Linked DNA regions of Schizosaccharomyces pombe. The main gene of each other region encodes a partner of the protein of the gene in region 2 in a complex. Each region holds a gene or a part of one and is shown on either strand. Other genes may lie near its edges.

What was found.
Region 1: sws2 (region 2) and mrp2 share a complex: the UniProt entries of both Schizosaccharomyces pombe proteins name them as parts of the mitochondrial small ribosomal subunit.

Annotation. Positions count from the first base shown.
Region 1 is NC_003424.3:2,504,285-2,508,039, reverse strand, and holds mrp2 (mitochondrial 37S ribosomal protein uS14m), read left to right. Parts: upstream 1-2,155; 5' UTR 2,156-2,195; coding exon 2,196-2,450; exon of another isoform or gene 2,451-2,499; coding exon 2,500-2,546; exon of another isoform or gene 2,547-2,587; coding exon 2,588-2,603; 3' UTR 2,604-2,775; downstream 2,776-3,755. Other genes in the region: threonine aldolase Gly1, read left to right, coding at 1-127; mitotic spindle checkpoint WD repeat protein Bub3, read left to right, coding at 734-1,055, 1,101-1,741; AP-3 adaptor complex subunit Apl6, read right to left, coding at 2,776-3,755. UniProt on the Schizosaccharomyces pombe protein: Component of the mitochondrial ribosome (mitoribosome), a dedicated translation machinery responsible for the synthesis of mitochondrial genome-encoded proteins, including at least some of the essential transmembrane subunits of the mitochondrial respiratory chain.
Region 2 is NC_003421.2:983,495-987,249, forward strand, and holds the start of sws2 (mitochondrial 37S ribosomal protein uS13m), read right to left. Parts: upstream 1,661-3,755; 5' UTR 1,498-1,660; coding exon 1,217-1,497; exon of another isoform or gene 1,147-1,216; coding exon 972-1,146; 3' UTR 750-971; coding exon of another isoform or gene 1-749. Other genes in the region: vid21 (NuA4 histone acetyltransferase complex scaffold subunit Vid21/Eaf1), read left to right, coding at 1-749; P-factor pheromone Map2, read right to left, coding at 2,585-3,190. UniProt on the Schizosaccharomyces pombe protein: Component of the mitochondrial ribosome (mitoribosome), a dedicated translation machinery responsible for the synthesis of mitochondrial genome-encoded proteins, including at least some of the essential transmembrane subunits of the mitochondrial respiratory chain.

The sequences.
Region 1 (3,755 bases), on a different chromosome or scaffold from region 2:
GTTTCATATTCAGATCACTCCTGATGCTGTCGAGATTTTGAAGAACGTTTTACGTCGCACAGTTGAGCGTCAAGCAGTTGAAACCCATATTGTTGCCAAACCTGGTGAGTTTTGTGTCGGCTATTAAGGGATTTTGCACATGTCACCTAAACTCTAAGCTTTATTTTCTATTTAAATCTTCTTTCTGCTTTATCAACTAGGCAAATTTTCTCGTCGACGCTCAAATTATTTTTACAGTAGTACATTCACTTGTCAAAGTTGACTGACATCTACTATTGCCTTTCAGTTTTTTGTATGAGTATGTAGAGTTATGTGCATTTCTTTCTTTTATGATTTTTTTTCATCGCTTTAGAGTGGTATTTAGTAGAACGTAGTTGTGTTGAAACGTATTCATAGTTATGTCTTATATAACGGTTGTTACATCATATTTAAACTGTCAGAATCAGCTCCTTTGCAATTTATTTTACACAGCTATTAGCAATTCGCTTCGCTTATCTTAGATACTTGTGAGGCACAGACTGTCAAAATTTGTTGAAAAGAAGCTGAAACAGTAATTTGCGCGTATGAAAACGTAAGTATTTATGTTTAACACCTAATATAATCGGCATCGTTGGAAATTCATCTTCGTAAAATTCGGTCAATTACCATCGAACTTCGACGTTGTCCTTTTGAAGCAACATTTAAAGGCCTATACCTCGCCAAACTCCTTTTTCATGTCATCTGTCAGTCTGCCATGAATTTCTCAAAAACATTACTAAAAAATTCAAAAGACGGGATTTCAAGTGTAATATTTTCACCCTCTGTCAAAAACGAACTAATTGCAGGGTGCTGGGATGGTAGCTTACTGCATTATCAAATCTCGGAAAATCCCGAACTTTTAGGGAAATACGATTTATCAAGTCCTATTCTTTCTTTAGAATATACAGATGAAAAAACTGCTTTAGTAGGAAATTTAGATGGGACAGTTACTACCCTCGATCTTAATACGCGAAACCATGAGTTTTTAGGAAACCACGGTAAGGGGGTATCGTGCATTTCTAAGTTGCGTTTGGAAAGTAAGATATATATTTTATTAGCCAGCTATTCTATTAACATTTTAGACTGTTTCATTAGTGGGTCTTGGGACAAATCATTTCGTGTTTGGGATGTTCGCGTAAAGCAACCTGTCGAGGGACAGGATATAGGAAAAAAAATTTTTGCAAGTAGCTCGAGAGATAATATATTGGTTCTAGGCTGTTCAGAAAGAGAAAATTTGGTGTACGATATTCGAAATTTAAAACTTCCATTTCAGCGACGTCCTTCTAGTTTTAAGTATATGACTCGAAGTGTTTGCTGTAACCAAAATTTTGAGGGATTCGTTTCTTCCAGCATTGAGGGAAGGACATCTGTTGAATATATTAACCCGTCTCAGGAAGCGCAAAGCAAAAATTTTACCTTTAAATGCCATCGGCAGATACAAAAGGACTACGATATTGTTTATCCAGTTAACGACCTAAAATTTCATCCGATTCATCAAACATTGGCAACTGCTGGGGGAGATGGCGTTGTTGCGTTTTGGGATATACAAGTCCGAAAACGATTAAGAGTGTTAAATCCTTCAAAGATCAATATATCATCTATTTCTTTTAATGTTGACGGAAGCATGCTTGCAATTGCCACTTGTGCTCAAGAAGAAGCCGCTGGTAATATCTATGTTCATGCTTTGGAATCCAACTTTGCAGCTCCAAAGTTAAAGTCATGAAATCGCTCATCAAAAAGCTTCATCCATGTAAAATCTTATGCAGATTCTTTTACTGCATACATATGAAATTTATATTATTTGAAGCACTCCTATTTAATGTTGTAAATGTTCAATATTTCCTCAGTGCTTCAAAGTGATAATTACGGTATTTATTATTTTTTATTCCACTATATATATTAAGTTAATAAGCAATTAATATAAACGCAAGACCATATTTATATAAAGAACGGGTTACGATTAAAAATACTTAATATAAAAACAATGTGACACTATTTGGTAGAAATTATCTAATTTACTTTGTTTCTCTTATTCACATTGTTTATAGTTATTAAAATAACTATAATTATACAGATCGCTAGCGCAGTTCGTAATTTATTTTGACTATTTCATCTACTGAGAATACACTCACAATTTGAACACAACAGAGAAGCCTTCTAAACCAGAAATAAAAAATATGAGGGCTTTGGGCCACCTGAAGCATAAAGCATTTCGTGATTTATTATGTAGGAGACTTTTTGCTGAACACGAAGTTGAACGTCAAAGCAATCTCTATATATATAGAAATCCTGAGCTACCTCTTCGGGTGCGTTTAGAAGCCAAAAAGCGGATTGAGGCTTTACCGACTAATGCACATCCTACAAAAATAAAAAATCGCTGTATTGAGACAGGTAGAGGCCGAGGTGTATTTCGTGCGTTTGGACTTGCAAGGGTACGATTATAATGTCATATAAATGCATTTTTGATGCTGACTATTTCAGTTTCCTTTTCGACTTAAAGCACTAGCTAATAAATTACCCGGAGTTCGGTAAGAATAAGCATTTTTACTTTTGTCACTAATCCATTCAGCAAGGCATCATGGTAATAATCGTTGTTTGTATTTCAATCCATGATAAGCGTTATTGAAATAAAAAGCTTTAATTATCTTCCGTGAATCCATCATGTTTATTATTAGCTAATATTTATTCGCCGTTTAAATGAAGTACAATTATTTGCATGATTACATTCCAAAACTGAATATTTACATTATCAATTGTTTATGATTGCCAATAGTTAGGTTCAGGTTCTGTGAGCGGCCTATCCATTATACTTTTAGTAGATATAGAACTGGTATTGTTGTTCTCTGTATCTTCATCAGGTGTACTATTTTTTTCGTTGTCTTCCTCTTGAGAAGTATCATCCGTTTCTTCATCTTCACTTTCACTGGTTGATGTTTCATATTCTCCTTCAGAACTTTCAGAAGTTTCACTAGCATAAAATTCTTCAAGCGTTTGCTGGCCAACAAATTTTGGACGGTTAATTGCGTTAGTATCTCCAAAATCACGTTTAAAGTTATCAGAAGATAATGCTTTCACACCCGGTGAATTGTTTGAATAAATATTTCCCGTATGAGGGTTTATTGGCAAAACATCCTTGATACCTTCTCGGACAGAATCAGGCGGTAAATCAGAGACATCAGCCCAGTTAGGGATTGGCTCATATCCCATCACGTCTTCATTCAAACATAAACTAGCGGTACCAATGCAGTAGTCCCGAGAAGCAATAATTTCTTTTTGACTATTCCCCTTGCTTTCCAATACGATGCGCCTAGTAAATTCAGAACTCGGTGTACTAGCTAGTTCTTTGTAAAACCTAGCTCTATCTCGTAAATCGTAACTCATGTCAAAGTGTATCAAAGATAAAACATAATTAAAAAGTAGTGACACGACATCATCTCTTGACTCTAAATCGTTTTGCTTCTCTTCAGAATGAGACAAAACATATAGTCTTACCGATAATTCGAGAATTTGATACTTCACTTCTAATGTCTCATCAGCAAAAGTTTTAACAGCAATGCGTAGCACATCAGGGACTAGTCGCGGTATGATTAGTATATGCTCCGAAATAAGCCATAGTGTAACGGATTTGGCCCGCGGTACTTCCAAAGTTTCATACGTTGCAGCTAAATACTGCAGATATATTTCTTTAGGATCATTATGAATGAGAAGCCGAAGTGAAGAGGCAGCTTCTGTCACGA
Region 2 (3,755 bases):
GGTTAACACCACCAGGTTTGTACATACCGCTTGCCGAGAAGCGGACTGCGTGGGATTGTTTTGAAAGATGGATTCAAGTGGATCCCAGAGCCGCCAATGTCCAATTGACTGGCTCCCATGCAAGACTCGCTCAGCAGAAATTAGATGAATCCTTAAGACATTCGGATAAAGTTAGCCAACATCTATCCTTACGGGATGAAGGAACACCTAACCATTTGATTAAACATAATTCTTACTTCTTATTGCCAACTGTATCAAGACATTACCGACCCATTACTATATTTGAAGCTATACGAAAGATCCTTAAAAAGAGAGAGTTTGCTAAAAAACCCACTATGACCAAGAGAGCGATTGCACCATCTGCAGCTTCAACTGAAAAATTGCCGCCGGTTCCTTCCCCTCTCGAACTTTCTCGTTTGAAATCTGAGCGTGAGGCACAAATACAGCAAATACAGGCTCAGAGAAACTTTGCACAATTGCAATCACAAAACAGGGCTCTACGGCCGCAAAACGCCGCTGTTGCTGCTGGTGCACAACAACACAACCAGCAACTAGCAGCCTTTCAAGCTGTAGCTGCTTCACAAAATAGTAGTAACAATTCATCAGCGGGTGTCTCGCCTATAGCTGGTAGAATGGTCCCCAGGCTTCAGCCATACGCTGTTTCCAGTTCTTTAAAACTAACACCTGAACAAATTCATCAGTTGCAGCAAAGGAAGCAAACTGTACCTACTACTGAAAGGACACAGTAAGTATCGCCTCAATGCAATTTTTCGATTTATTGTATTTTTTTTGAGTGCTGTTGTATATTAGAAGGAAATTACGAGGCGAGAGCTTTTTCTCTCACACAATAAAAATAGAATACGTTTTCATTTTCGTATCCCGGTTGTTGGTTTTTTAACAGAATCAAGCAAATCGAGGTAATACGAAGTGTACATGATAAGTGAAGTTTGATTTCATAAACGTTATTTTAGCTAATGAATATGTTTTAATTTTTGAAAGACAGACACCATTCTCGGTAGACAAAAACTCCATGTGATGGGCCTTGTAGAAGCGGGCGACAGTGTCATATAACCTCGTCGTGGGACTTTGTTTAGCTTCTTAGCAGTCTTTGCATTCGTCCGAGTGTTCTGTCCATTAACGGGTAACCTGAAATATTCATTAGTTAAGTTGAAAAAGTTGTCGAAGACAGCTACGTTCACAAATGATCTTTTCATACCCGTTTACATGTCTCATTCCCCGATAGCATCGGATATTCACCAATCTTGAGATATCAGCATTCCGTTGACGCCGTAAGTCACCTTCAATAGTCATTCCTGATAGCAGTTGCGACAACGTTGTCAATTGAACATTTGTCAGCTCTCGAACCCTTAACGTATTGTGAAATGATAATTTTGCGCATATTTCTTCAGCCTTGGCATGTCCAATTCCATAAAAAGAAAGTAGAGCAAACCGCACAGGTTTATCGTCGTTTACAGCCACTCCAAGTATGTATACCATGATGCAAAATCTCAGATATCAACAGATGAGACAGAAACCAGCTCAATAATGAAGTGGACAATTTGGTTTTGTAATTCAGTTCTCTATCAGTAATCAGAGAGCTTAAAACCGTTCTGAATATAAGTATTAGGCTTTCTTGTAAAAGAGTGGAGTGGTGGTGTTTAGATATAATACACAGTTGGATCTCTCATATTTTTAGAAAACTAGTTAGATTGTACAGACTCCGGGCCTAGTAATAAAAGACAATTTGAGTAATCATTAAAGAGCTACTATCTAAGGTGTAATTTGATGTTTAAGAAGACCATAAATAGGGCAAGGTAAGACGAAGAAAAACAAATAAAGAAGAGATATCGTCAAAGGCCTTCCTTTTCTGTTCAAATTTTAAAATTTATGAACTCAAATGATCCCTTCGTTCAATGGTCTCAGTTTAAAATTTATTATTGAAAAATATATTCACGACATTACTGTCTCTTACAAAGTTGAATGTTCAACAGTACATGCGGAAGTACAGTAAAAAGTTTTGGAATAAAATTTTATATATTCTAACAATGCTTTGCGGATCTCAACTGTCATATATATTTCAAGTGCAGCTCCTTTACATTGCTATGCTTGTGCAGGTCCTAGGCATTTTAAATGAGCAGTAGCTTTCCGCATTTCAATTGAAACTTCAGTGCTTTCTTCTTATATGGGATATGACTAATTTTATCGCTTAACACAATTGGTAGTGTTCATTTTTATTATTACTTAAGCAATCCGCAAATCATGTGGTTTAATAGTCAGTTTTTAAATTGATGTTTTATTTAACTTTAAAAAACAAAGCAACTGAAAGAAGTATAGTACTGTAGATTTCAGTAATATTGTAACTACTATACGTTTTTTCTTTTTTTTTTTTTTTTTTTTTTTTTTTTTTTACAATATGAAGACTAAGATGAAAATTAAAAATATTATTGCGAATAGGAATACAGATCGTATGGTAAAATAATAGATCGAAAATAGCAATTAATTTAAAAAATTGCTTCACATGGCTTTGTAAAGATGTGTGGGCTAACATACTAGAAAATAAAAAAAATATGAAGATAAAATGAGTTTAGCTCTCAAATTTGGCAGTAATATTGACATCTGTAATAGTGGAATTCTCTGGGACAGTCATGATATAAAACTGAAGAAAGCGATAGTATTCTTCATCCTCTTCCTCATTCTCTTCATCTTCTTCAGTGCGCTTTTTCAAGTTGGGTCTGTCAGGATTAACAAAAGTGTTCCAACTTTGGTAAGCACGAAGGAAATCAGCATAAGTTTTTGCGGGAGCAGCTTCGAATTCGCGCTTTTTCAAGTTGGGTCTGTCAGGATTAACAAAAGTGTTCCAACTATGGTAAGCACGAAGGAAATCAGCATAACTCTTCTCTGGGGCAGCTTCAAACTCACGCTTTTTCAAATTGGGTCTGTCAGGATTAACAAAAGTGTTCCAACTTTGATAAGCACGAAGGAAATCAGCATAAGTTTTTGCGGGAGCAGCTTCGAATTCGCGCTTTTTCAAGTTGGGTCTATCAGGATTAGCAAAAGTGTTCCAACTTTGGTAAACACGAAGGAAATCAGCATATGACTTGCTAACTGAAACCACACCAGGATCGGCAACTGGAATAGGTGAGGCAGCAGCAAGTGAGAATAAAAGGGCAATGACAGCGGTGATCTTCATAATGTATGTGAAAAAAATAAAATTTCGTTGATAAGTTAGAAAAAGAAAGATAGTTTAAGCGATGAACTAGCAAATAAAAGAAGAAAATTATAATTTGTTGACTGATTCAAAAAAAGGGAGAGTTTAAAAAGGCAAAATTCCAAAAGAAAAAGGATTAAAAGATTAGAATAAGAAAGATCGAAGCAAATTTACAGAAAATTAGCTAACGGAGCAGGTTTGTTGACAAGAGGGATGTAAATTCACACCCAACGCGAGTTCTTGTAGAGTGAAGAATAAGAAATAGAAAGAGTGAATATGTAAAATAGAAGACTTGAACGAATTCTGGTTTTCTTCTGGGACAGAATGCCTGTATTTATACATCTTTGTAGTGCTCCGTTTCCCTCAATTCAAATCTGGAATTCTATGCTTTCAAACTGTTCATTGTTGACATTAACCGCCATTTTTTAATGACTTCCCCGTTTTCGTTTTATCGCTGTTTATCCTGATTGGTTGAAGATATTCGCTTATTTTTTTGTCGTCCACCCAAAATGAACTTCTATGTACAGCGACCAATCAAAAGACTTAT